Linked DNA regions of Struthio camelus. The protein of the gene in region 1 interacts with the protein of each later gene in a pairwise test. Links are inferred from orthologs where the notes say so. Each region holds a gene or a part of one and is shown in the gene's direction. Other genes may lie near its edges. The genes, in order: TEX11, HYI, CCDC198 and ATXN3.

The links.
Region 2: the proteins of TEX11 (region 1) and HYI interact in binary tests that used the Homo sapiens proteins (3 or more experiments, as listed by UniProt). The two-hybrid records come from large-scale screens. The link is inferred for Struthio camelus from reciprocal best matches to the Homo sapiens genes TEX11 and HYI.
Region 3: the proteins of TEX11 (region 1) and CCDC198 interact in binary tests that used the Homo sapiens proteins (3 or more experiments, as listed by UniProt). The two-hybrid records come from large-scale screens. The link is inferred for Struthio camelus from reciprocal best matches to the Homo sapiens genes TEX11 and CCDC198.
Region 4: the proteins of TEX11 (region 1) and ATXN3 interact in binary tests that used the Homo sapiens proteins (3 or more experiments, as listed by UniProt). The link is inferred for Struthio camelus from reciprocal best matches to the Homo sapiens genes TEX11 and ATXN3.

Annotation. Positions count from the first base shown.
Region 1 is NC_090952.1:25,538,747-25,545,620, reverse strand, and holds the start of TEX11 (testis-expressed protein 11), read left to right. Parts: upstream 1-3,871; 5' UTR 3,872-3,928; coding exon of another isoform or gene 3,929-3,953; coding exon 3,954-3,984; coding exon of another isoform or gene 3,985-4,061; coding exon 4,062-4,174; intron 4,175-6,306; coding exon 6,307-6,391; intron 6,392-6,874. Other genes in the region: nuclear cap-binding protein subunit 2, read right to left, coding at 1,351-1,449, 2,139-2,277, 3,116-3,297, 3,621-3,707. UniProt on the Homo sapiens protein: Regulator of crossing-over during meiosis. Involved in initiation and/or maintenance of chromosome synapsis and formation of crossovers.
Region 2 is NC_090949.1:25,507,458-25,515,011, reverse strand, and holds the start of HYI (putative hydroxypyruvate isomerase), read left to right. Parts: upstream 1-4,538; coding exon 4,539-4,734; intron 4,735-5,207; coding exon 5,208-5,319; intron 5,320-7,126; coding exon 7,127-7,241; intron 7,242-7,414; coding exon 7,415-7,493; intron 7,494-7,554. UniProt on the Homo sapiens protein: Catalyzes the reversible isomerization between hydroxypyruvate and 2-hydroxy-3-oxopropanoate (also termed tartronate semialdehyde).
Region 3 is NC_090946.1:78,494,912-78,501,789, forward strand, and holds the start of CCDC198 (factor associated with metabolism and energy), read left to right. Parts: upstream 1-3,877; 5' UTR 3,878-4,051; coding exon 4,052-4,256; intron 4,257-6,878. Other genes in the region: SLC35F4 (solute carrier family 35 member F4), read left to right, coding at 660-901. UniProt on the Homo sapiens protein: May be involved in tuning the metabolism, energy expenditure, and excretion processes.
Region 4 is NC_090946.1:65,726,989-65,734,181, reverse strand, and holds the start of ATXN3 (ataxin-3), read left to right. Parts: upstream 1-4,173; 5' UTR 4,174-4,305; coding exon 4,306-4,329; intron 4,330-4,719; exon of another isoform or gene 4,720-4,819; intron 4,820-7,193. UniProt on the Homo sapiens protein: Deubiquitinating enzyme involved in protein homeostasis maintenance, transcription, cytoskeleton regulation, myogenesis and degradation of misfolded chaperone substrates.

The DNA of each region.
Region 1 (6,874 bases):
GTCTGTACATGAGTAGGCAACAGAACAGACAGCATTATCTTGAATAAGATAACGTGAGAGAAATTGTGACTACAGGTTATTGGCCTGGGAGCAGCTGTTATTATTTGCATAATACAAAACCAATTTACAGTCAGAGTTTAACTTGTGCAATGGAATTGGCTGAACCGAGAAGTGCTCGGGGGCGGATCGGAAAGGGTTTTTGGTTCCTCCATAGTCCCTTGTTCAGACCCTAGGCAGAAGTTAAGAGTGTCAGCTCTGGTCTTTATACCTCTCACATAAGGGGAAGAAAGCTTGCTGAAAACACAGGGAAAGGAGTTCCTGGTTCCTTCACCTCTGAAGTGCACACTGGGCCTTTGTATTGCTTTTCAGATTCTGGAACTAACTGCGGTAACAGGAGAGAGAAAGATTTCCTAGAATCTCCTGGTGTGAAACATAAGAACTTGCCTTATTGAGAGCAGCTGTACACTTTTTATAAGCAACTTCCTTCTGATTTCAGCCAGCAGCTATTGCAAAGCACAACAGGAAAGCTAGGAGGAAAAGCTAGTACCAAGAGAGAGGCCAAGAGAAAGACAGCAAGACTCATTTGTGCTCCCTTTTAGTCTTTCTGTTCATGACTTTAAAATGCTAATGGGGCACGCTCCCCAGCTCCTGTCATACCGCTAATGGTTTTGATGCACAAACTGCAGCAGGTACAGGACTCACTGTTTATTTAAAAAATTAAAAGAAATTTAACAAAATCACGCCGAACAGTGAGGATCTGAAAAGCCAGGCAGCACTGGGGTCATCACAAAAAGAAAGGCTCTGCAGGCCTGACCAAGCCAAGGGTTAGATGTGCAGACAAGCACCTCCAAGTGGACAGTAAGACCTTGTTTCACTTCTCTCATCTAAACAGCAATACTGTTTTTTAAGCAGACTGAGATTGTAAATTAGAGATCTGAAACTCTGGTGCATCTCTACAAGGTGCCCAGATACCTGGAGGGCTTTGATGTGGGTAAACTTCCCAGAAGTTCCATTTGAGAGCGACCATGGCTGCAGCCAGCCTGGAGGAAGCCAACCGCTCAGCTGCAACGTGAAGAGTATGTCCTGGCACAAGGTCAGCGTGACACGCTGCACTTCTTCTTACCCAGAATCCTGCAGAGCTGTCCGTTTTTTCCCTTGTTGTCCTGTATCAGCACAGAACATCCTCTCTAGCCCAGAAGGAAGGGGGGATGAACACATGTATATCCACAGTCTAAGGAGAGTCCCCTTTTGCTGGAACTTGGATTTCACTCCCTACCCCAATCCAAAATGCAAGTACAGGGCTAGCTCTGGAAGGACAGAGCCCTCTATGAGCTAGAGCCCATGAGGCGTTTAATAGATTGCAGGCTGATGGTTTGCCTTCTGCATCTGAATGATCTTGCCAAAGCCGCCTCTTCCCACATCGTAGTCTGTCCGGTACTCATCTCGCACCTGGGGCACAGCAGTAACACGCGTTAGTACCCTGTACTGCCTATCTCCCAGTAGACTTCAGAATCATCATCCCTTCCTTGCTGCACTGGTGGGGAACTGAAATTTGGGTTACAAGTTCTTTGACTTGTTCAAAATCTCTTTAAAGAATCCACCAAAAAATTACTGGTGGTAGTGAAAACAACAAACAAGGATACAACAGATTGCTAAAGGTCTTTTTAAACAAAAAACAAAGAAGATCCAAAAATATTCTAATTCAACTTTGCAGTTAGCTTTCTGAATCAACAGAAACATTTACCCCTCCTCCCCGCCACCCTCCAGGAAATCTGCAAAGGAATCTCACCTTCTCACTGGGGCATGCTGCTGGATTATGAGATTGGCCTAGCAACTACACTGCCCCCCCCCCCCCCCAAATTTCAAATTCTGCATCATTTTAGGAGTACTAGCTCAGGAATAAGGCAAATTCTGTTTGCAGAGCCAGAAAGATTGGAGTCCCAGCCAGAAACTGCCTTAAGCTCTACTTAGAGCTGTAAACGCCAGGGTAGCTCAGTTATCAAAACCACCAGGGAGTGTCTAAAATTCACTATTGGGTCTTCATTATCTGCACTTTATCTTGAATAAGACAAAACTGGCAAAGCAGCACCCAACTTTAAGGAAAACAGGTTCAGGGTCTGAACTAGTGTTCTCTTTACCTGTCCTCCAGTCTTTCCTCTCCCATACTGTCGCCCTTCCTTAAATCCTGCATCCCAGTCAGTTCGAATGATGCGGTCATCTAGTCTGGTGCCATTGATAAATCGCATTGCGTGTTCAGCATCTGCTCTTGTGTAGTATCTGAAACATACTGTAAGGAAAACTAAACGTGCTATTTTGTTGGCTGCAGGGGGGGGGAAGAGAGAACTATTGTATTTGAGAAACAGAGGAATCCTGCCTTCCAGCCTAAAACACTGCTCTTTTTTATGGCATCAAAAGCTACCTTCATATAAATGCAAGCTGAAAACAGCCCCAATTCCTTCCTAAGATGCTACACTTTAATGTGAGTACCTGTACAGACAAGAAGTAGTTTTGGATCACTTATTTCAGAAGTAGATGAAACAAATGTGTTAAAGCTTTGCTACAGGCAAGAACGCTGTAATATGCCTTTTTATAGCATATGAAACTTGACTGAATTTGAATAAGATGAGCAGGCCTCCCAGGAGAGCTTTGCAAAGGCAGCTCACAGTACAACTTGTACAAGCGTGTACCCTGTGCTCGGGAGTAGTGCCATGGATTATTCTACTAGTTCATTCAGGTGTGAAGTTAGGGTGAGAAAATGAACATGTGCTCTTAATTTTCACCACACAACAGGTCTGACTGGTGATTTCTTTTTGGGCCCTAAAATCTGCTAAATGAATGAATGAAAGGTGCTCTCTGCTGCCTCCCAAAAATACAGAAGTGACAGTACTTTTCACTTACGGTCCTGCAGTAAGACCTGCCTCTGAACGAGGGCAGAGGGGAAAAAAAAGCAGAGAGGACACAAGAAATGTGCTTGACAGCCAGAAGGATGGAAGGATCGACAGGGAGAACCTGAGTTTTGCTCCCTCTTTCAAGTTTTGCGCGCTTGCTTCCCAGAGAGGGACTAGGGGTGGCACCCACAAGCCAGCTGGCAGTAGCAGGGAAGCAGGGAGGATACTCTACGAAGCAGAAGCCGCAGGGAGTTTTCTTGATCTTGTCCAGCCCCATGACAATCCTCTTGACGTCCCCGCACTTGGAGAAAAGCTCCTGGATCTGCTCCTCGGTGGTGTAGAAGGACAGGTTGCCCACGTACAGCGTGGAGGAAATTTTGAGGGATTTCTCCTGCAGCTGCCTGCTACCCTGAGGGCAGAGACGAGCACACAGCGGGGTGAGCTATACCACCACAGTCCCGGGGCTCCGGGGGGCACCTCCGCCGGGCCCGGGGACACGGTGCCCGCCCGCCCGCCCGCCCGCCCGCACACCGGCCTGCCCCGGTACCCGGTGCCTCCCTCCACGGCCCCGTCGCCCCTCAGGCCCCAACCCCATCCCGGTGCCTCCCCCGGCCTCAGGCCCCGCTGCCTCCGTCGACGCTCCCCGCTGCCGCCTCAGGCCCCGCCGCCCCTCCCCCCTCTTCAGCGCCTCAGGCCCCGCCGCCGCCGCGCGCGCGCGCTCCGGTGCCGCACCCGGAAGTGCTGGTCGCGGTACTGGCTGATCTCGCAGTAGGAGTCGCTGTTGAGCCCGCTCAGCGTGGTGTGGAGCAGCCCCGACATCTCGCCCGCGCCCGGCCGGGCCCTGCTGCCGGGATCCTTCCAGAACCGGCGCGGAGCCCACCGGACAGCAAGCGGGCGGGCCGCCCACCGCGCTCCGCCTCATTGGCGCCGGCGCTTGCCACTCGGGGTCGGGAGGCGGGGCGGCCGCGCCGGGCAGCCAATCGGTGGGGCGCTGAGCTCCTGGCGGCGGCGGCGGCGGCGGCGCGGTAGTGGTGGTGGGAATGCGCATGCGCGGCGGCGGCGGCGATGGCGATGGCGGCGGCGTGCGGTGTGGCAGGTACCGCCCGCCGCGGGAGGGACCCGGCTCCGCTGCCGGCCGCTGCCCTACACCCGCCTCTCGGCCTTGTCTTGCAGGGCTGGTCCGCGAGCTGCTGAGCGAGGAGGCGCCGTCGCGCATCGCCGCCGCCACCGAGGAGCTCTTCCAGGCGGCGGGCAGCGTCGCGGCCGAGGAGGGCGGCGCGGCCGAGGTAGCGCCGCGCCGTCGCCCTGAGGGAGCGGCCGGGCCGCGCTGAGGCGACGCCGCGCGCCTCGTCCCGCCCGTGGGCGGCGGGGCGGGAAGTTCCCCCCCCCCCCCGAAGTCAGTTGCGCCACCGCCGAGGAGGCCGGGGCCAAGGGTTCAGTCCCGCGTGGGGAGGCGTGTTCGTGATGTCCACGCCGGTGTTTCGGTCTTCCAGTTCATGCCTCGTTATAAACTTGAGTGCAAACCCGCCTTAGGCATCCGTGGGTGCTTAAGGACGTCGCGCTGGCTCAAAACAGAGGTCTGTCCCACCCTGCTTGTGGCTTCCAGTACTGTTAGCAGCTGCCTGGGGAAGGGAGAAAACAAGCATGTAGCTTTACTTGCCTGGTAAACCCAATACATAAGCTCTGAGGTTATTCTATTTTCGTGTATTTGAACAGTGATCCAATTCGCTTGCATAATGCTTTTGGTTTTAGATTTTTTTTCCTCCTCTAGTCAGGCCTTGTGCTGGACTGCTTATGAATAAAGTAGTAAAATTCTACTTGAAGAGAAAGTTCTGCTTTGACAGAAACTGTGTGCAAAAGAATTCTGATGAGAAGTGTATGAATCTGGAACAAAAACAAGAATAGCTGAGATTTTGTCCAACTTGTTCCTCCAAAATTATATGCTGAGGGGAAATTTCATAGTGACTATCCCATAAGGCAGACAATAGTTCTGAAAGTCCTAAATCTGTGACGAGGAGCAAGGTGGGCTGGCAAGCGTCACAACCGGGAATATTTTCCGTGCTCTCTGTAAAGAAATACGTTTGCATAAAACCAGTAGCCTTCAGTTCTTCCTGTTGGGCTAAATGATTTTTAAAGAAAGGAGAAATCGTTATCTTGTAGTTTGTTCTCTTCAGTAAAAGGAGCCATAAAATTTTGCTATTTGATTCTTGTATGAAGCCCAAAGTTCTTAGTTAAGCAAGAGCATATTTTCAGAAAGACATTTGATTCGGATTTTATGATCCGAAGTGGTTGAAAATACTGGCTTAGGGTTGTTCAAGCAGCTTACTGCCTTCGTGTACGACTCTGTCATCTTTTTAACATCAATGCCTAGCCAGTAGCCTTTGTTCTTTGCTAGTATCAGAATTTTCCCTGTATAGGTATTTACAATAACTAAAGTACTTAATTTCCTTTTTAGGAGGCAAAAGAAGTACTATAAATGTTTGCAAACCTGATACAATTCTTAGAGCTCCTTTCTGAACCCTTCTAATTTTTCAATATCTGTTTAAAGTGTACATACTGTATTCTGAAAGCTGCCAGTGAATCAGCTGTGTCTTGGACAGTGATGTGCTATTGCACAATTTTTGCATGTATTTTTGTGAGAAAACGTCATTCCAGATGGATAGGCTAAGGTAGGTCATATTTTGATAAGTTTGGAAAAGGATTTGACAGAAACATATATTAGGACCCTGGAACAACATGACAGATGAATGGAATTTGTTTAGGAACATATTTTAATGAAACCAAACAAAGGACTGGGAATGTGTCTGAAGTCCACCACTTCACTTACAGAATTCGTTGTGCGCAATTTCAAATTAGAGCTGAAGTCACTGATGGATGACGTGACATGCGTGTGGGTACTGCTATCTGCCTTATGATTAATTAGTTCTTTTTAGTTTCAGGTCATGTCTGCCTTTGGTTTACAGTCATTTTCTTTCTTACCTTGCTTCATCTTAGAAATACTCTCAAATGTTTAGAAGCTGTGAAATAGTCTTTTCTAAGACTAAAGTCTAAAGACTAAGTGTATCTTATGAAAGACGCTTATGAAAAGAATACGTGAGTCCTGCCAAATGCTTGTAAGTTTTCTGAAATGGCTGATCCATTGAAAAGAAGCTACTTTTAGCTCAAGAAAGCCCATGTGACCTATTCAGCATGCCTGTTTTCAGGTTACTGTCCCAGATCTCTCTGTGGAGACAGTCAGATCAGGTAATAGTTTCACAGTAATCTCACATGTGTGAGCCTACTGTAAAAGGAAGTTACACAGACGTGCGCACAGGTCATTAACATGACATACATGAAAGATGATTCTTTTTCCAGTAGTACATTTCAGCGTGATCCAAATTGAGGCAAAGATTAAATCTAATGGAATTCTCCCTCTCAGGTCGAAGAGAGTGCAATAAACCTGTGGAATTGGGCTGTGACCAAACACACGGGTTCTGTCATCAATGATGAGCAAAGAGCTAAATGTATGTATGTGTTCTGTATCTCCCTAAACGTTTTTGTGTGCTGTAACGTGGAAGGGAAAAACTCTGCTGACAGATACATATATAACGCTGTGGATTTGTTTGGATCTTTGTAGATAAGATGTAGACAGAGAAAATTGTACAGATGGGCTATAGAAACGGTTCAGGAAGGATCATCCTGGTGTAATAATGATCTTGTGGCACAGAATCAGTGTAGGAATTCTTATCACTCCCCGTTCCTGTGCCAGAGCATCCGTAAAAGCGTGATGTGACCAAAGGAAGCTGTAATTTGCCTTCTAATGCTGTTTTTAATCTGAAATTTTATGGAAATGATATTGGTGTAAATTTTAGACTGTAAGTCACTAAATTGATGTCAAGTAAGAAAGGTACTTTAAATAAACGCTCTCATCAATGACTACATGCAGAAAAGCTTTAAATTATTCTTTTTGCTAGCTTGCTTTAGCCCAGCACACAGCTAATGGCTTT
Region 2 (7,554 bases), on another chromosome or scaffold:
CCCGTGGCCACGGCACGGGGAGGCTGCAGCAAAGCCTGGGACCAGCCGGTCCGTCCCCGCTTGTTGCCCGACCTTGACATATTTATTTGGCTGCAAAGTGTGTCCCGCGGTCAAAAAGGGACTGGGCTGGCTGACACCCGGCCTGGGAGGCGAATGGCTAGAAATAGAAACGCAGCATGTAAGAAATGGAAAAGGAGGGAAATTCATAACTGTTGTAAAGGAGAAGTTACAACTGGTAAGGCATAAATCAGAAGGAAGTTGATAAAGGAAACCTCGTGCCAGGGAGGGGTAGGCAGAATGAGGAGGAACGTCAAAGGCATAATAAGGCCAAAAGAAATCCTGGCACCGCTATAAATCCTTTCCTCGCTGGAATTGTTGGAGTGCTAATGATCATGCAAAAAAAAGCCAGACACGTTTAACAAATATTTCTGCTCTGTGTTTGGAAAGAAGCGGGACGACATGTTTGAATCATACAAGAGCGATGAAGCAGTCTATTAATTACTGACGGGAACGTTAAACAACATCTGCCAGCTCAGCGGGCCTAGACAACGCGTGCACCGGCGTCCGCAAAAAGCTGGAGGAGAGTTCGGCCGCCTCATTAATTTGCCGTAAAATCTTAGAACATCAAGAAAATCCCAGAGCCGCTAGGAAACGCGAGCGGGCCGAGACGACCTGCGTCACCGTCGCGGAGGTCGCCAGACCGAAAGCAGCCAAATAACAGGGAGCCAGCGCCGGCAGAGGCGACGGTGGTATCGGTCTTTGCCGCCTCGCCTCAGCTTCGCCAGGATTTATAGTGTGTTCAGGCTCGGTTCAATACTCACTGATGAAGAATAGTCATAAAGCTGGCGAAGGTTGTGCATTTGTTTCCCATAATATGATATATAGATTTTACCGAAGTGTTTTTTTTGGAAGCTGTAACAAAGCATGGCCTGGAAGCAGAAATGTGCTAATTAAAGCACCCCGTGAACATCTTAATGGAGACTTTCCGGGGAGGACGACGAGTTTCCCCACATTTCCCACGTGAGGCCCAGTGCCAGCTCCTGAGGAGAGGGGACTGGAGGGCAAGGGGGAGGAGGAGGAGGAAGAGGAGGAGGAGGAAGGGCTGGCAGCCCCACAGGTGGCCCTGGTGCCGGCACCGGGGTGCGCTACCACGCAGCCACAACGCACCCTCTTCTCAGCCATTTGCAGCTTGGTTTGGCTAGTGGGAATCCCTGCTTCCAAGCAAATACGTTTTTTTTCTCCTCGAATCCTGCCTAGGACAAAGCCAGCCGTGGCCAGTGGAGGGGTCCCGTGGCGCCTGGGCCACGGCCAAGCCGGGATGAAACACACGCCTCCCCGGTGGCCGCGAGCGAAGGCAAACCTACGGCCTCAAAAACATGCAGGTGCCACGAATAAGGGTGGAGCACTAAATAAGGAGAGGGGGGAATTTGCCCAAAGCCGGGCAGCCACCCCTCAGGAGAAGCCGGAGCGCCGCCGGCACGGGCCGACATGCTGGGCTGGGTGCCACGGGGCATCACGGCAGCTCGGGACCTGCTGGAGACACCGCAGCAGGGCACGTGCTGCTGCGTGGGGCCAAAAAGCGTTGAAATTCTGCCACGGGCACAGAAAAAGGAACCACAGAAATGAGTCGAGGAATTGGAAAATATGCTTTAGAGGGAGATTTTTAACAGCTTTATATAGTTTGTTGCAGAGGAGGCAGAGCAGCATTACAGGATAAAAATACAAGCCAAAAATGAAATGAAGCCCCCAACCCCACTAAATTAAAGGGTTTTTTGTTCTGGGGTGAGAGGCCGAACCAGCGTCCGGAGCAACCCCCCGACACGTCTCTAGCAGGTGCCAGGCTGCTGGGTGAGTGTGGGATTTTTCATCTTGTGGCACTTCCAGATCCGGCCTGGATGGCTTTGGGGAAGACCGTCTTCGGTCATCGCAGGGCAGGCGTCTCGGTGTGGTGGCAGGCTGACAAAAATCTATGGCTGGCTTTGCACAGCAGGTCATGTCAGACAGCGTAACAGCTTTTGGGGGCTGAACTCGGCGAAACCCCGTGCGCGGACACACACGCAGGCGCACAGGGACCTTGCTCACGCAGCCCTCAGGCAGCACGAGCAGCAGGCAATCAGCACCTGCAGGCCTGGAGTAATTCATGCAGATATGTCCTTTATCCTGTAATACACGATTCACCCGCACCATCAGTACCAACCGACCCCAGAACCAGGAGTTTGGTTCTCAAAATCACGAGACTGAACAGTCACAACTCCCGCAGCTGCCTTTGCAAGATGCTGGGTCACACTCAGAATATTGTTTCCAGCCTTTTTCTACATATGAAGAAGCTAGAATTTGCTCACCTATAAAAGCTGAAATTCCAAGTCCTAGAAAACAAGGTTTGCACAGGTTGCAAAATATTGGGGTGTTTTAGTGTGAAGAAGGGGAGACCGGGGGGGCTGTGAGACCAAAGACTGCTGCAGGGAAGGGAAAGCAGCGGCTGCCCCGGCCATCGGAAGTGGAGACAAGTTGGAAATCCCAGGGTCCCAGCCCCGATGGCCCAGTGCAGCTGTGGGGTGGAGGGGAGCAGGAGGGACCAGGGGTGCCAGGAGATGTCACCCCCCGGTCTGCCTGTTACCGCCAGGAGGTGGGGACCTCTGTCCCTGTCCCGGTGATGGTGCCCTGCTGCTACCTCAGTTGCCCAGCCACCTCGGAGCCAAGGCAGAGGTAGTTAAAAATACAAAAATGTCAATTTAAATGAAAACATGCTTCATAAAGAGAGAGAGATAAGAGGCTCCCAGCAGCCCGGTGAGCGGGGGGATTTATGGGGTAATGAAGCAGCCCAGCGAGCCACACGGTGCAGGATTGATGCCCACCGCCAGCAGCGGGCCGTGCTCAGCCGCTGGCCCTGGCTGCCTCCGCACCCCAGTGCGGCCAGCAGTGGGCTGGGACCCCCCACAGCGCCTGCTGGGGGCACAGGCGCAGGGAGCTACCACGGCCACCCGCCGCCCTCTCCATCGCTGAGGCCAGAGTCGGGTCCATGCCAAAATGTCAGCTCTGTAATAAAACGCGCAAGAGCTACATTTTCTTTGGGCCAGTAAAATTCACGGTGAGTGGCAAAAATCCATCGCTGGCACCCCAGGGCTGGCAGAAGCTGCAGCATGGGAGCCGGCCCAGGGCAGACAGGGGCTGGTGCTTTGCACCCCAACACCCGAGCCGGGCAAGCCCTGGCGTTAGGATAGGATGCCCAAGGATGGCAAATCCCTGGGGTTACCAAATACGCCCAGAAGGCAGCTGCTTCAGGAGCTGAAGCCAGGCAGCGGCTGGGGGAGGCGCAGGGGTGTCCCAGCTGCTTGCCCCGTCCTGTTTTGACCTCGACACCTCTTACGGCTACCATTGGAAACGGGCTCCAGGGTGGCCAGCTCCATGCCTGGGCCTGCATGGCTGCTGGCGTGTGATGGTCCACACGGTGATGGGCGAGGGGTGGATGCAAAATGGTCAGATGAAAGCCTTGAGTAGGCTGGCAACTTTGTCCAATTTTGTTTTTTGAAGAGGCCACTTTGGTCCAGTTCATACCGCCTCCCTCACCCTGCTCCTGCCAAGACTTCCACTAGAGCCAAGACATGTTAGCGGAACGTGCAACGAGCAGGGTGGAGGAGGGTGGCTCAGGGCACACGCAGCCCCCATGCTGTGCCCGGCTCCTCCACGCACAGGCCGGCCCCTTCCCGAGGGGAAGACGATGTGACCTGTCTCCAGCAAGTGCAACATCTCCCCAAGCCACTGTGCTGCCCAGGCGAGTTTGCCGGCGTTGAGTAAATCCGCTGTGCCCTGCCAAGGTAAAATGATAAAACACTGGGCTGCAATGCAGGAACTGCAGTTATAACAAGAGAAAAATCAATGAAATATATTATCAAGGATATAAAGATGCCATTAACTGCTTCAGCACTTCACGCCATCCCCGACGAAGCGCGGTCCCACCGCCGGACGTGCCTGGCCTCGAGGTGCAGCCCGCGCTGGAGGGGGCCCATGCCTGCGGCGCGGCCCAGCTGCCCACCGCTGGGACAGCTCGGGTGGTTGCTGAGAAGTCGAGTCAAGCTTCCTCTAATTGATTAATCAATAGCCTTAATTGAGTAGACTCTGCTTTCCCCTTTGCTCGCGCCGCCCTGACCCCCCCGGCGGCTGGGGCCCGGCGGGGCACGTGAGTGAGAGCCCGACCGGCCGGCAGGCCCCGCGGAGGCCGCGCTCGGCCTCCTGCGCCCCGGGGAGCCTCCGCTCGGAGCCCAGCGCTTGACGGTGAAACCCGCGGAGCGCGGGACGAAGGCGAGCGCGCGTCCCCACAGCGAGGCACCGCTGCGCACCAGCTCCCCAGGAAACCAATTAACGGGGGCGGCCGGCACCTGGCACGAACGCCTTTCCCAGGGAATACGCCAGCCCGGCCGATGAAGGCGGCAACCCCCGCGGCGGCGCCGCCGGCCCCTGCCGCCGCGCGGTGGCGCCGCGGCCCGGGGAGAGGGAGCGGGGCCTTCCCTCACGGCCCCGCCCCCGGCCCCGGCCCCGCCATGGCGCTGCGCTTCTCGGCCAACGTGTCGTGGCTGTTCCCGGAGCGCGCGGCGCTGCCGGCGCGGCTGGAGGCGGCGGCGCGCGCCGGGTTCCGCGCGGCCGAGGCGGCCTGGCCCGCCGGCTGCGAGGCGGCGGCGCTGCGCGCGGCGGCGGCGCGGGCGGGGCTGCGGCTCGTGCTCCTCAACACCCCGCCCGGTACCGCCGCGGGGGGGGGGGGGCGCGCCGGGGGCCGTTGGGGGCTGACCCCGCCCTGGGGGGGGACGGGAGGCGCGGCCGTTGGGACCGTTGGGGGCTGACCCCGCCCGGGGGGGAGGGCAGGCGCGGCCGTTGGGACCGTTGGGGGCTGACCCCGCCCGGGGGGGAGGGCAGGCGCGGCCGTTGGGGGCAGACCTCGACCTGGCGGGGGGTGGCGCGGCCGTTGGGACCGTTGGGGGCTGACCTCGGTCTGGCGGGGGGTGGCGCGGCCGTTGGGACCGTTGGGGGCTGACCCCGGCCTGGGGGGCGGGAGGCGCGGCCGTTGGGGGCAGACCCCGCCCAGAGAGGCAGCCGGAGCCGTTGGGGGCCGTGGTGTCCCCGGCGCAGCGGGGGATGGCGTGTGGGGGCTGTGGAGCGGCTGTCCCTGCACTGAGGCGGGGTGTCCCACTAACCCCCCCCCCCGCCCCCTGCAGGCGACCCGGACAAGGGCGAGATGGGGCTGGGGGCCGTGCCGGGGCGCCAGCCCGCCTTCCGCGAGGGCCTGGCCATGGCCGTGCAGTACGCCAAGGCCGTGGACTGCCCCAGGTAGGTGCACGGGGTGGCGGGGGAAGCAACGCGCCGTCCCCTCCTCGTCCCCTCCTGCCTGTGCCCGGGCCAACACGGCCTGGTCAAGGCGGCGCTGGCCCTGGGTGCCTGCAGGCAGCACTGGTTGCACTCTACCCCCTAGAGACAGTCACCCCCAACAGGGACTGTCCCCTTAGGCATCGGTGCTACACTTGGCCTTCACGCAGTCCCCGTGCTGGCACTGTATCCCCCCTCCATCAGCCACTCTCCTACCAGCGTGGCAGTTATTTTACGAACCCGCCCCCTTGCAGCAGAACGCTTCCAGCACTTCAGCCCACAAAGCTGCCCTTTTTTTGGAACCATCTCAAGCCCTGGTTTCCTGGCCAGCTTTGTCCTGCAGCTTACACAGCCATGCTTTTACCCCGCATACTTTCGGACAGCAGTTGAGGCTCTGTTGAGTTTTACTGTGCTGTGTCAAACAGGCCAACCTCCTTCTGTAAGGCAAACCCTCCCCCTGCTGCTGGTAGCTCTCTTTGCTCTTCTCATACCCTAAAGCAATTAATCTGGGGGGGGGGGGGGGGAGCAGGCCCCTGGTGGGCCTCAGCTCATTCAGGATGACTGCATCAAAGTACTTTTCCGTGTCAATTGCTCCTTCAGCTGCCAGGCTCAGTTGTTCCTCCACAAAGGACTTGCCCTTTGTACTGTTGCACCTCACAGCCCCCTGCATCATGGAGACCTTCCTGTGCCTACGTGCCCTTCTCTGCTGTGCCAGCAGTGCCTGCCTTGCTGGGAGCAGGAGGCAGTTCCATTTACGCAATCCTGCATGCAGTCCTAAAACAGTTAATGTTTCCACTCAGAGCAGTCCTCAAGCTGACCCTTCATAAGGGTCCATGTACTCATCTTACTCTGTAATTCCTCCTGGAGGGTCTTGTCCTCACCTCTGCACGGTAGTCCCCATCGTAATTCTTCCCCCCACCCCCCACTTTATGCTAGCAATTTCCACTGTGACACCACAGCAGTAGCTTTACTGAAGTCCCCACTGACTGAAGTGTAGTAGATACCTTGCAAGAGATGCAATTAGTCTGGCGCAATCCACTTCAGAAAAAGTGTTCCATTTTTATTCCATTTACTTCTTTGCACCATTCTTTTCCCCCAAAATATGATCTAAGGCCCTGCCTACAGCAGAGGTCAGACTGAAAGCTGCAGTTGCCCAGGTCATTTCACTCTCTCTGTTAACAGGGAGATGATAGTCTGTTTTGTTTTCACAGTACCCCTCCACCAAATCACTTTAAGATCCCTGTTCTTGCCCTGTAGTTGAGCTTTGTGTGCAGCCTGTCACAGCCCAGCAGCTGGCCACGTTTTCTCCTCCCTGTTCTAAACCTTTGGCCATAGCAAACAGTGAGACAAGGCATCCAGTCTGCCCCAAGCAGACAGCATGCCTGCCGTCCAGCATGGTGGCTTCAGGGTAGCTCCGGTAGTGAAACCCTACGAGAACTCTGATCTGAACTCTGAAATCTCTGGGGTTGGCCTTGGGATGAGGGAGGAAGAGGCAACTGACAAAAGAGGGAAGAACTAAGGCCTATGATTTGTCACTTAATAGGTTCAAAGATGTCCTCCTGAATACTGAAGTGGGATTGTACAGGCTTGTATCCTTGCAGCTCGCCAGAGCCTGTTGTGCCTCCTGCACGGAAGGAGGCACAACTTTTGACACATTCTGTCTGCTTCCCCTCCCTCACTGTATTTTCTACCTGCAGAGGAAGGTGCATTAGTCCTCGACCACTCAGTTTGGAGACTAGAGCTACTGCCTACAGCTGATCTCTGTTTGCAGGATCCACCTGATGGCCGGGCGGGTTCCTGTGGGTGCAGACCGGGCAGCAGTGGCAGGAGAGATGGAAACCACGTTCATTGAGAATCTCCGATATGCTGCTGACATCCTGGCCCAGGTAACTAGGGAACAGGTCCTGCTGCACGGGTGCCAACTCTTAGGGGACTGAGGGTGTCGAGTCCCCCACCAGCTTGGCACAGGGAGGGAATGCTTCCGGCTGCAGCACAAGCCAGCAGCTGTCTGCTGCAGAGGTGACAAGATGCTCCATGGAGTGACATCACTGTGTTACAGGAAGACATGATTGGACTGATAGAGCCTATTAACAGCCGCATCACTGACCCTCGCTACTTTCTGAACACCCCTCACCAAGGTAAGGCAGACATTTCTCCCCGCAATCTCCTTCAAGGGAGGAGAGGGAGGCCCTAAACATT
Region 3 (6,878 bases), on another chromosome or scaffold:
CCTTTTGCTGGGAGTGAGGGGTGTGTCCATACCACACAGAGGAGAGGGCAGGTTGACCCCCTGCCTGCAGCCCCCGAGCTAGTTGCTGCCGAGACGCCAGGGGTCAGCGTGCTGCTGCTGTGGCTCAGGACCGTGCTGGTGACCTGATGGGCAGCAGCAGGGCAGGATGTATGAGTGGAAGGTTACTCCAGGGTCCCCTCTTCCTGAAGCTCAGGTGTGCTGTTATAGCTGGTTGCGGAGTTGGGAGGCAGAATCTGGGAACATCGACTCCATCCTGACCTGCATGCTGGTCTCTCTCCATCACTGGTGGAACGTTGTGCTGATACAACCTGCTGTACATAAAGAGTTACCATAAAGCATCTTCCCTTACAGTAGGAAGGGAAACCAGAGGCTAAACTGGCTCTGTAAGGCTTCCTCAAAGTCTATGTGAGGGCAGCGAGGCATAGAAGAGACATGGCATTTCCAGTACCGCTCTGTGGGGTCAAAGCCATGCTCTGAACTCTAGGAGTCGGTTGGTCTAGAAGACTGAAAGTGATGTGGCCAGTGTCATAGCCAGAGTCCAACATGTGGGGTATGGAGACATAGCGGGCTAATCTGATGGTGTAGTTCATCCTTTTGCAGTTTTTTTTGTTGATGACACCTTTGTTTCTTCTTCACAGCTGTGGATCTCTTGAAGCACAAGATGATCTTCAGTGTAGTGAGGCTGGGGGCCACTATCATCATTTGCATTGGGTTTCTGCTGATGCTTCTCCCTGAAGAATGGGATGAAATAACCTTGAGATTCATCAACAGCTTAAAGGAGAAGAAAAGTGAGGATCATGCTGACGACATCACGGACTCCAGTGTGCACACGAGAAGCAGAAGTAGAGCTAATGGGACAGTGTCTATACCACTAGCTTAGAGCTGGTGGACTTTAACTGCACACAGATGTATATTCTGTGAATATAGCTGAAATTTCCTCACTACTAGTATGCTTAAAAAAAATAACATTTACTCTGAACTGGGGATGAATTCTAAGATAAGAGAAATACATCTATAATAAATGTTTACATTTATACACTTATCAAGGAACAGGTGTAAATAACCACAATAAAATGTTTTGTAGTAAAAAGCATTTAAGCTTGTGTCTTACTGAACTGGCAGATTTAAAATAAGGATAATAAGGATCAAGTCTACATCACTGATCTCCTTTTGGTGGCAGAAGGGTCATCATCAAGGAGACCCATCTTGGACATTTCCAGCAAAATCTCAAAAGTGAACATTAACTTGTCTTCAAAGTAAAGGAATTATTATCAAAATAAATGCTTATTTAGGGACGTGGGACACCCAAAAGGGCAACAGTGTGGCCAGGCATTACTGTGACCCCTTGCTGCCAAGGGTGGCTGGAAGAGAGAAACTTCCTTCTGAATGCAGGAGAACAGTGTTTACATGAGCCTTTGCCAATTAGAAACCATTCACACAGTTAGAAGCAGTCTGACCAAGCAACTGCTCAAAACCCTGACGAACAGGGCTGAGCTATCTTGTAATGTTAAATTAAAAAACAAAAAAGAAGATAAGATGAATCATCCAAGCCCTGTCTTCCTGAAGCATAGGCTTTCTGCTTGCTCCAGGAAACCCAACTGGGCACGCAAGCCGATTTTGAACATAGCCTCAACTCTAATGCTTTTACTACACCATCAGCCAGCTTCAAACCTTGTCAAAGCCTTAGCTAACAAACTGACCCTGTTCATGACAGGCACGGTCTGCTGGAGCCTGCGACTGCCCGGCTGCAGGCTGTCCTAGCGCAGAGCTACGAAACAGCCGAGCCCACCCATAGCTTCACGCTCGCTGAACGCGCTCCCAGACCCACGCTGGTCTGTGCATCTCTGCAACAACTTTCCAGCAGCGGCTCTGCGTTTTGGGTGCCTCTGGTTAAAAACAAAATAACTTCATTTATCTTTTTCTCCTAGAAAAGCTGCTCGCCCAGCTTTCATGAGAGACCGAGTACCCTGCAGCACTAGCATCCTTGGGAGATGGCAGCTCCCATTTTCCAGTGCTTTTCCTTTAAGCCAAACAAATATTTGTCTTAACCTCTGCAGTGGGGAAAACAAAACAACAACGCTTTCAAAAGCCAAAACCAACCAACCCACCCAGTTCCTTCCTTAAGACTGTCACTGTGTAATTCAGGCTGGCCGTTCCCAGGTACGGCGGCCCCAGGATCACGCGCTCAGCGAGAGGACGCTTACTTGAGAGCACTCACCATGCAGAGACCTGTGCAAATGTTTTGTTTTAAAGAGCAGGAGAAACAACTCAAAAGTAATGCCGATGGCTGTACTGACCAGCCTGCTTTTTGCCGTTTTTACTTACCGGTTAGTATGGTTTTGTTCACAGTATTTTTGCCAGGGGAAGAAAAAAAGTTATTATTAATAATGAATGCTTCTTTTCTCTAATACTAGCTATATAATAACTATGTTACTTAAAAAAACAAAACAAAACACGCACACCACACACAGCCAGCAAAAAGCTGTGATTTATACTGGTCTCACCTCCGGGGCAGCAGACAGGGCCTGGCTAGCTGCTTGTAACACCCCTTCCCGTGGCATTGGGCCCCCCCCCCAAGCCCCACAGCTGGAGCAGCGCCGCAGCCGTGGCATTCCCACACCTGGTGGGGTGCTATTCCCACCGCACAGCGGAGGGGATTGCTCCTTGCCCTCGGCCCAGGCAAACCGCAAAAATACGCTCATGTTATGAGCGGCAGCAGCAGTGTTGGCCCCTCCATCGCAGAGCTGCAGAACTAGTGCAGGAAACCCCAGCCCAAAACGACCAGCCTCCTCGTGCTAAACCCCACGGATGAGGTCTGGGCATGCACACTTGCTCTTCTGAAACTCTCATCTAGCAGCCTGCTGCAGTGAAAAATAAGTCTAAAAGACATGATTTCCGCTAAGCGGGCAGTGCCGATGGGAGGCTGCTGCTGCAGGTGGGTGCAAGGCTCTACACTCGGTGCCACCAGCAGCGATGGCTTTGCCCCATGCACCGGCAGCGAAGGGGCTCAGGAGCCCCTGGCCCCGAGGCACAGCGCTGCTCTGCACTGGGCGTCAGGGCGCGCGGAAGGCAATGCTTTGGAGAACAGTAAATTTGCTGGAAAAAATGCAGTTTTTGCAAGATGAGCATCCCTGGGGAATTCTGGTTGAGTATGGTGGATGTTCTCGGACAATAAAATGGGAGAAAAGCTACAGGGCACCAGCAGCAGAGAGCCTCCTTCCTGCCACCCACCCTCCCCAAAACCCACATGCAACACTCAACAGCAGCGTTTAATCCTCTATTTTCCCTGAACTGTTCAATGCAAGATGCCTGTTTTTAGGGGGGAGACATTGAGCACAGAGAAATTTGGAAGGGAAGCAGGGTGCAGATTTTAGCAGCTCATTTGGAAAATTAAGATGAAGCTGCTCGGCTCCCTTGCATCATGCGTGAGCCGCTGCACAGGGAAGTCACGAGCGGCGTGGGGGCTCTGCAGCCACAAGCACCAACCTGCCACACTGCCCCAGGGACCGGTAACTCCTAAATTTGGGGATGAATGATTTTTCCCCCGCCTCGTCCTGGCCGGCGGCGTTTGGCAGCGACGTATTCGGCCAAGACCGGGCACCCGCTCACTTTGCGCTTCCAGCTTTGGGTGCGTTTCGCAGCCGGGTGAATAGGTGCTCTCACCACCTGCTAAAAAACCCTCCAAAACCAACATTGAAAAAATCCTCAATCCTAAATGGGTGCAAATAGATACCAAAAAAAAAAAAGGAAAAAAGCCCCCAGTGCTTGGCACCGACTTCCCAGGCCGCCCCGGCTCCGCGGCGGGAGCTGCCAGCTCCCCCGGAGGGCTGGGGCCGGTCAATGTTTAACCGGCCTCGGCCGACAGGGCCGAGCCGGGAAGGACGCGGGGAGCGGCGGCGGCTGTCAACCTTGGCCCCGCACCACCCCCGGGGTAGCGCGGGCGCCACGGACCAGCACCGTCGGCCAGGTCCGGATAGGGCCCGGAGCGAGGGGCTTTTCCTTTTCTTCGGAGGCCGCAACTCCGGAAAAAATGGGCCTGAGCTCCTCCAGGACGCGCCACAGGGTGACCAAGGTGGCCCCAGCACGAGCCGGGGGCGACCTGCCCGTCTCGCCCTACGTCTCGGCCCCGCGTTGGTTTTCCCACGCGCCGGAAGATGCGTCGGAGCAGGAGAAACCCGCGGTGCCGAGGCAGCTGCCGCCGCTCCGGGACGCCGGGTACGGGAGAGCCGCTGCAGGTAAGAGGGCCTGCAAATAATAATTGCAATTAATAAGTTAATGATTGCAAGGGCAGCGGCTGGTGGCTTGCCCTCGGCAGCACGCCGGTCCTTGCTCGGAGGGGACGCCTGCAGAAAGCTGCCGGGTGTCCCCCGAGCTGTGGGTTTGCTCAGGGCGACGGGGTGCGTGTAGGTGCCTTTCCCTGTTCACGTCTTTTTGTCATTTCCAGCAAATTTCAGCTTTGAAAAAAAAAAAAAAAATCCATTTCCCCCTCTTTCCCACAACTAGTTTTGGGAAACTCTCCCGGCCAGCAGAGCCCAGGTCACGCACTGCCCCCCGCGAACAGCCCCCTCCAGCAGCGCTACATCAGCGCGCAGCGGCCACAGGCTGCGTCCAGACGAGCGCTCGCACGGCGGCCCCTTAACTCCTGATTATGCACGCCCCCGTCACCCTTGGGCACCTCTACATCATTACCTTAATTATAATTAGATCCTGGGAAGACGCTCAGCAGGTAAAATTCAGCACTGCCATAAATAATACCTGTGTCTCACGCAGGGCTAATGTTGTAAGCCGGGAGGCCGAGGAACGCAAAGGCAACAACTGCCCGCGTTCCCCCCCCTCCCCGAGAGCCTTCCCCACGCAGCACCGGCCGTAGCCTTCGGCAGCGGTTTTTAAATTCACTCTGTACCCAGAGACGAGAAAGGAGGTATGAGACAGCTAGCAAAAAAGCTGGTGCATGACTATAACGAGCGAGATGAAGACTGGCCACCCCCGGCCACGTACAATAAATCGAGAGCGAAATCTCTGCACCTAACGCGGCTGCTCGCTTGAGAAAGGATAATGCAGATGGATCGGATTTGCAGGTTTAGCTCTCCTCCTCCCCTCTTGTCCCCTTCTAAAAGGGAATTTTGAAAAAAAAACCCCAATCATTTGTTAGCATTGCCAGATATTTCCTCTTCAGTACTGTCTATGGAAAGACACCGGGAGCCCAGGAAAGCAAACGCCTCCAGCGCGACAGCAGTCACGTCCCGGAGCGGAGGCCTGGGGTGAATACAGATCAGTGCCGGGTACACGGCCCGGTGCTTGGAGCGCTGCGTAACAGCGAGAGCAATTACATATTCCCATTCTGGACAGTGATAATCACTAGGCATTTATCAAACGCTTATAAAAACATATTTTTATAAAAAAATCTTTAAAAGAACTCAATAAATGTCATTTTCTATTACATACTTCATTTTCAGAAACAAGTACGCTCAAGGGCACTCGAGCGCTGCATTAGCTTGAGCTGCTGCCTAAATAACCGAAGCCACCCGGAGAAAAGGTCCGTCTTAGTTTAGGAGGATTCATTGGGGCTGGCGTTAAATTCCCCATTCGCCGGCAGAGAGAATCACCTATTAGGGCGCAAGGCTGAAAAAAGGGAATTGCCGAAACGCCGCCAGCTTGAGCCTCACGTTGTCGCCACGCTGCCTCCTTGCAAAGCGCCGTCTCCTCCTCGCCTCTGCAAGGAGGCAGCGTGGCGACAACTAAAGTTTTTCTCCCGAGACGTCACCCGCGCTGGAATTTCCCCTCTCGGGCGTCCCCCGCTCGGTGGTTAATCATTGCACGGGTGCTCAGCAGAGCAAAGCAAATCCTTTCTCAGGTGAACTGGGCCACGTCCGCGGCCTCCTCCAGCACTGCCAATCCTGGACGCCGGGGTGCTGCTTGGGTCACCCCGCCGCTCTCCAAGCTGCTGGAGTCACCCATCGTCACCCCTATGAGAGGACCTCTGATTTTTATAACTAGGAAGTTTGACCTCAGCTATAATGTAACGCCCTTCACCGTGTCTCCCTGCTCCGCTCCCCAGCCTCTGCCCCCAATGCCTGCTCCTCCCCCCCACCAAATCCTTTGCCATGCTGCACACCGGAGCTGCTTGGCTTAGGGCAGGCTGCTGCTGTGTGAGAGCAGCTCCACCTTGTTTAACAGCACGTATAAAACAGCAAGCAAATGCAACAGGGGAGGGAAGAATAGAAAACCTTATATATAAAACAATTCTCCATGCACATGCAAGTGTTTGTGCAAGAACAGCAGCAGCAACATGCCCCTGGAGAGCAGTAATGAAGAAGAGATCTGAGCTGGTCCGCATTGCATTCAGGCCTTAGTTAAAAGGCTGCTTTAATGACGGACAAGGCGATTGCCCTTTGGTAGCACGTCCCCACTGTGCATGCGTTTTGGACTGGTTTCCAAAGGCAGCTCCTAGTTGTGCTGTTCGCATGTCAGCACTTCCCTCACCAGTTCCTGAGCCTACTGGCTGGCTGTAGCCCACGTCTGCCAGGGTCAGTAGAAGCATTAGAAGACATTCCTATAGGGTCCCTCAAAAATAAATAAGGTCTCAGAAACTAAGCACCAAGAAAAGACTCAAAGTGCTGCCCGTTCCCTGCTTTAAAAGGCCAAGCGTGAGCTCAGCCCGTGACTGCAGCCAGGAACCAGCCAAACATGCAATTTTCTTGGCCAGCAGATGGTTATGGGCCACAGGAGAGACCAGGGAGGACAAAGGGATGCCAGAGGAGGGAAGGAGAAGGGTGCAGGTGGCCAGAAGAGCTGGGAAGCTGCAGGAGACGTGGAGGGTGGTTATTCTGCCATACAGGGTGTACGAGGGGCTGAAG
Region 4 (7,193 bases), on another chromosome or scaffold:
AGGGGCGGGGAGAAAAGAAGGAAGGGCAGTGCGGGGGTGGCGGGCGACACCACCGCCAGGCCGCCGCGGGGGGGGGAGGCGGCTCCTCCCCCGCTCCCCGAGCAGCCGGTGGGCTGCGCCGGCCTGCGCGCTGCGCCCGTTGCCCTTGGTGTGGCCGCTGCTCCGGGCCCGGCGGCAGCGGCAAGCGGTAACGGCTGGGGCTGGCGGCGGGAGGGAGCGGGGCGGGTTGCGTGGTGCCGGCGGGAGCCCTCACCTGCAGCGCCTCGGGGCGCTTCCCTGCGCCGGCGGAGCCTCGAAGGCGGCAGGGGCCCTGCCGCGAGCTGCGGCCCGGCCGGCGTCGCGGCTGGCTGCGGAGCGGCCTGCCTCCCGCCGCCCCGCGGCGCCCTTCGCAGCAGCGGCGGCGTCTGTGGCCGTCCTCGGGGCGGTACGGCTGCCGGGCTGTCTCAGATCGTCCCGCAGGACACTCATGCGGAAGGTTTGGGCTGGTGAGGTTGGAACAGGCTTTGCGGAGTTAACAGATATGTTATCTTGCTTCTCTGTCAATGGCCAAGTGACTGCGAGGCTTGTCTTTGTGACTTTTTACTGATATTAGGGCATCCATCTGCAGGATTTGGTACTGTAAATACATGTGTTATGTTTTGCAGGAGAGCAAATTTCTGTCCTTTTAGATTTGTTTTAATGGGTAAATTATTTTGCTGCTGTGGGTAGATTATTTTGTCACTATTTTGCCAATGATGCCTTAAAAGAGTCTACTCATCTCTAGCTTTAGGATAAGATCCTATTTCCCAGCACCACCGAGCTTTTTTGTAAGAATCCTGTGTTTGGACCTGAGAACAGCATGCACCTTGCATGGAGTGTTTAATGGCCCTCATGTGTTTATTATTCCATAGTAGGATCCTAGTACGTGAGAGTAAAGGCGCTAGGTATGTCGCAGTTGTCGTGTGCAGCTCTATCAGTAACTCTTCTGTGTTACACTTCTCTTTCTAGCAGTCATGGTGAATTTCATGCAAGCTGTGCGTGATCACTGGGTTCACATCCTTGTTCCCCTAGGATTTGTGATTGGATGCTATTTGGACAGAATGAACGATGAAAAATTGTCAGCCTTCAGAAACAAGAGCTTGCTGTATAGAAGGTTTGCTTATGATACCTTTTTAAAATATATATGTTCTGTTATTTTGCAAAGTAGATGTGCTTCTCTGTTCTTTTTGAGAGTCTCAAGTACAAAAAAAAGTCAGTAATGCTGTCAAAATATTAAGAGGAAGAAAGCCCTAAAAATTTCAGTCAACTTTCATTAAGAGTTTTGAGTGACTAATGCCTACTGAAAATCTGTGCTTTAGGGCCCATCTTAGTGCTATAAGTCATGAAAGAAAGTGTGCGCGATTCTGTCCATTTGACCTATTAGTTGAGATAATTGACTTAAAATTTTTTTAAATAAATGTTATTCTTGGAAGCAAGATAAACAAATGCAAGAATTAGTAAACGTTAAGACACTTTCATTTATGTCTAAGTAGACTTATGAAAAGGATGACTAGAAAAATAAATAGAAACCTAAATATGTGCATAAATAAGAAACTCATGTTGCTAGGAAAAAAATCTTCAAATAAAATTTAATCATTTACTTAACCACTATACTTCACCATTTACAGTGTAATTAACATGGCATATTAACACAGTCTTTGCTGCATAGAAATTGTTACTGTTCCTTTTTAAATAAAAGTAACATTGTCTGAAATACTACTAATAAAAAAGAATCTCAAAGGGTTGAAGTAAAAACACCACTTGAAACATTCTGTAAACTGTACTTCTGAAGAGACTGTTTAAGATGGATTTTTCTGTATACTGGGCCCGGAGAAAGTGTATGAAAAGGGGAGGACCTCCAAACCACTCTTCTCCTCCCCCCCTCTTCCCTTAAGTCCTTCTGGAAATGTTTTTGAGTCCTCCTATTTAGCTGCATTTGGATACCGTACCAAGTTCACTTAAATGCACAATACTAGAGCTCTGACAAACTTTACCTAACAAAATAATGTTAAATGTGATAATTGCAGGGGGAGGGAGGGGACAAATTTATAAAACATATTTTAATGTAAAGTAACTTATTAAGCTAGGGAAGTAGTCTGTAGGTATGAATTTCCGTATTCTCCGTGTCCTTGATTTTTCTACAGGTGGGAAAATGCAGCCTCTTGCATTTTTTTGTGTATTGAAAATGGAAAGTGATCTTTTTCAGCTTCCAATTAGTTTTCCATTTTAAGTAACTAAATATTGATTTGATATCAAATAATTTGGAAAAAGAAGGTATTTTTGCATTGGTATAAAAGGCTTTAGCTTTCCAAAGCTTGTTAATCATACTAACTGCTGCCAAGTGCTTAGCCATGAAACTGTGCAAACCTTATCTTGGCTCTGTCTAAAACTTCAGCAGAAGCAAATAGTACTTGGGTTTTCCTTTAATTTTAACCTTTTCAGTGGATTATAGTAAAATTATATCTTAAGTTTAAAAGTATGACATCATATATATACATAGCATGTATACATATATAGCATGTAAATACTTGTATAAATTTGCATCATTTACATAATTATCGTCTTTTTTTAAATTAACCCAGCTTCTGTATTTTGAATGTTTAACGTTTAATGTTAGCAACTGCTGTGTCTTTACTGAGGATATGACTATATACCCATGGTATGGGCTTGCTGGCTTACTGCTCGGGGAGAATTGAGATAACTAAATGTGCTACCTCATCTAGATCAGTTCTCTTAAATCTGTATAAGACTGCAGGGTTAACCAAACAGCAGAAAAAGAATCATGCTGCATAATTACTAATTCTAGTCTATCACAGACTGGAAGAAAAGTAGAAATGTTGGTATATATGGTTTGCAAGTGACTTTTTTTTACTCTGGTGTCCCATGGGCTAATAATTCTGAGTGAGAAAGTAAAGTAACACGCCCACTGCTCACGCCACTGTTATTAGCACTTTTCTCACTGCAGTTAGTGGTTAAATTGCACTGGCCTTTCAGTATGTTGCAAAAGCTTCCTCTGGTTTTGTTTGTTTGTTTGTTTTTCCCCAGTAAAGTAATGATGTTTTTCTATTCAAAAGAAATAAGGCCCTGTTATGCAAAAAGTTTGTTATGTTATTAGAGGTTAGGTGTTCGGTGCCCACGTTTGAACTAATTGAAGCGGACTCAAGCAGCTTTGGAAAGAAAAAGAGAACATTTACCCATATTGAAAGATTCTAAACTGACAACACAACACTTTGAAAGAAAGTCAGATTTATTCATTATAATTAATATATATTTCAGTCAAGGTTTCTATAATAATGAAAGCTTACATCAAGGTTTTCTATAATAATTAAAACTTACATTTTTTAGTAATTATCCTACAGAAATGATCCTAATGTTATTCCCCTGCCTTTCTTTTTCCTTTCCACACAGAGAATTGAAACCTGGTGAAGAAACTACATGGAAATAGAAGCTGCTGATGAAATGGGAAATATTTTCACTTGTTCAATCAACATATATAGCAAGTTAAAAGAACAGGATTACAGTTTTTATTCTTGAGTGAACGTATAAGGCTGCAGAAAGGAACACCTACGATTCATCTCTGCTAGTTTATAATTTTCAGTCCTCCTTTTTGAAAGATAATTACATGACTAGTACAAGTCCTGTTCAGAAACATTTATCCCCGGAAGTCATACTCTGAAAGAGGGAGGAAGACTTATGTAATAAAGAAAAACTATGCAAAAAGCATGTATGTCGTTATTAATTTGTATGGTGTAAAATTCATGTAGTTCATAGAGAGACAATGTTTAAAGGAATATTTAATATAGATCCAAAATGTGGTAGAGAACGTATTTATATATTTTTAATTGAAATCTGAACCGTTTTCTCTTTAGATTTCCTCTTTAGACATGTTTCTTTGGAATGTCAGCAGTGGCAATACTGTAGCTTTGTGATAGTGCAAGAGAACAGGAGAATGAAAAGGATTGACAGGCGGTAAGAGACAGCAGTGAAGCCGACTTCTCTGTGTGATTTCTAAATTTCTAAACCAAGCGAAATACGGGAAAAGCTTTCGAGGGCGCAGGGAGGTCGGGGGGCGGATCCCGGCTTCGTGCCGCCGAGGGCGCAGCAGGGCCTCCCGACCGGCAGGGGGCGCCCTCGTGCAGGCAGCGCTCGCACCGCCCCGCTGCCGGCGGCTACCGTGGGGGTGGGGGCTCCGCGCGGCCGGGCTGCGGCGGGTTGCCCGGTAAAGCGAGGTTTGATTGGCTGGGGCGGGTCACGTGAGGCGGAGGGTGCTGGCCGTTGACAGTAAACATGGAGTCTATCTTCCACGAACGGGTGAGTGAGGGGCTGTGGGAGGGGAGGGTTCCGCTCCGCGCGGAGCTTTACCCACCCGGGGCCGGGGTGGGGGGCAGTCGCGGTGTCGCCGGGCCCGGGGGGTGCTCCCTCCGCGGAACTGTACGGGGTGGCGGGCGGGTCTCCGCTCCCGGCCCCGGCTCCGGGGCGGCCCTCGGGGCGCGCTGCGGCCGGGCCCCCTCTGGCGGCAGGGCTGAGGCGGCGGCTCCACTCCCTCTGCCTCGGCGGAGAGCTGGGCCCCCTCGCACCGCGCTGCCGGACCCTGCGGCCCGGCTTGGCTCTGCGAAGTCTTCCGGCTCGGTGGGAAAAGGAAACGTTATACTGGAGATCAAAGAAAGCCAGGGCCGAGCCTCGACGTTTCCTCTCACCCAGTGACTTCCCTTCTCGGGCCTTTGAAAGTAGACCTCCGCTACGGGGAAGTGCAGGCTAATGCTGTTCCTGTTTCTTGAGAGAGAGCTTCTGCGGCTGAGAAGTGAGTGTGAGGGTGTGTAGCCTGGGCAGGCAGGACTGTTTCTGACTCTTCCTGTTATGTTCTCTTTCCTCTTCACTTAGCCTGCCTTGATTTGAGTTGTGTGAAGAGCAGGGAAAGAGAGTGCTGTTAAGGATTTCCTTAATCCATGCTAATGCACTGCTAATTCATGTGCAGTGCTTCTGTATGCTAAATAGTGTTTCCTGATTTGGAGGAGAAATGCTTCCATTAACTCTTGTGGTTTATCTAGGTTCCCAAATGCCAACTGTGTGTGCTACAATGCTGTTGGAGTACTATTGTCTTCCTCATATGCTTTGCCAATGTCATAACATCTTTATTGTGTTAAGATTAATGCTAGTTCTTATACACTGTTCTCAAACAAGCTAGCTGTATAACTGTATAAAGCAAACTTTAATGTTCTGGAATTTGTATAACCTGAGGAGTGTGTTTTCACTGGATTTGGATAGCAGAACTTTGCAAATGCTTGGGGTGTTAAACTGCTGCTGCTCAGGGGATAAGTATTGATTTCAGTCATTACAGCCTGTGTTACAGTGACCTTGAGTTCCAGTCCAGATTTGAAAATAATGAGTTCAAATCAAGTGTACCTTTCTCTTATGTAGCCTAGCCTGTCACCTGAGGAAATAGTAACATAAAGTGTTTTTGAGGAAATTGCTTTGTTGATTTTGAATAATAAAACTCTGGTAGAGTTAAAATGATAGAGCATAATACTGTCAGAGTTACAAGTTAATTGTCATTTGTAGTTGCTACAAGTTCTTATTGAGGAGTGGTTTTGTTTGTTTATCTTAATGTTCTTGGGACGTCTTGCTTGTGAATGGTATGCAACTATGCTTTAGCAAGTTAGTTATCCAGTTATTAATGTTCCTGGCTGTCTGTTTTAAAAATACTTGGCACTCAAATTCATCTTATTTTGTTATAATTACTATTCTAGGGAAAATTTGACTGAACTACTATGTCTTTTTTCTTTTTTTTTTTCTTAAGTGGTATTTTTTTTTCCTGAGTGCACTACAAAATATTGAGCGTTGAATGCCTGTGTGCATCACTTGTACACTTCAGAAGTTTTAATTAAAAAACTGAGGCATGAAAAAAATGACATTTTTAAAGGGATACCTTTAACAAAACAAAGACCTAAGCAATGTGACTTTTTTTTTTCCACGGGAGAATGGCAAATGCCCAAAGTAGGCCTCCTCCAGGCTTAAGGAGCCACTTTCTTAAAATTCGACCCCTTCTCTTACATGATACAAGTGGTTGAAAACACCAAAAGCAGGGCAACAGTTTTATATCGAGATAGATCTCAACAAGGAGATTTAAGATTATGGAAAAAGCATTGTGTTCTCCACACACAAAAAAACAAACTTAACTTTTCTTACAAACTGTAAGATCAGTTTTGTCTTCTGCATTTACCCTTAATACGTACAAATCATGCATATGAAAAATTAATGTATGTTGTCTTAAGATAAAACTTTTTCTGTACAAATATAGAAATGCCCTTTCAGTGAAACTGGATTTAAACACTGTCATACAACTTGTTTTCAAAGACTATAATCTCTCTTTGTTCCTAAATCGGTTTCAAGTAGTTTTGGTGGAGAAACTTGCAATTCTTAAGCAGGTTGCTCTGCTTTAGTTTTATCATATGACCAACAGCAGGGATGTGGTCTTGGAGGATGCGGTCTTTCTTGCAGTGGGAGAACACAAGCTGCGGGATGGTGGAGAAGGTTTCTGAATTCTGTTAGACCCCAGCTGTACACCCAGTCCAGCCTTAACTCATTGCTTAGTTGAGTGATAAAGCCCTGGGAAGATTTTGTAATCTGGGGTAAAGGAAATTTTTGAGATTCCTGCTTTAAGGGATGAACCATGGCAGATCTGTGCATATAGCTTGAATGAGGCTGTCATAGAAGTTTGAAGAATATTCCTACAAGGCATGCCCTTGGTACTTGGGATTTTGGGGGTTTTGTTTTGTTTTTTGTTTGGTTGCGGTTTCTGTTTTTATTCTTCAAAGTGCACGTACTTTAAGGTAAACAAAAATAGGAAGGATTAATTAAAATAGCAAAGATGAAACCTAGATTTCAAAACTGATGTGAATCTTATTTTGCACTTGCAGTTTAGTTATTTCTTTAAAAATAACGGTTATTGGCTACTAAAGTTTTCCTTTTTTAAGCAAGGTAGCATTTTTATCTGCACTAATTATGAGAATGAAAGAGCGTGACGTACATTCAGGTTTTTTTTTTACTTATCCTACAAAATAATAACTGTCACTTCTAATTTATTCATTTTTAATTTAGATTGATAGTCTAAAAGTGATATATTACATTTGTGTTATCTCCAGGGCGCTGGATACATAACAAAGTATGTAAAATGC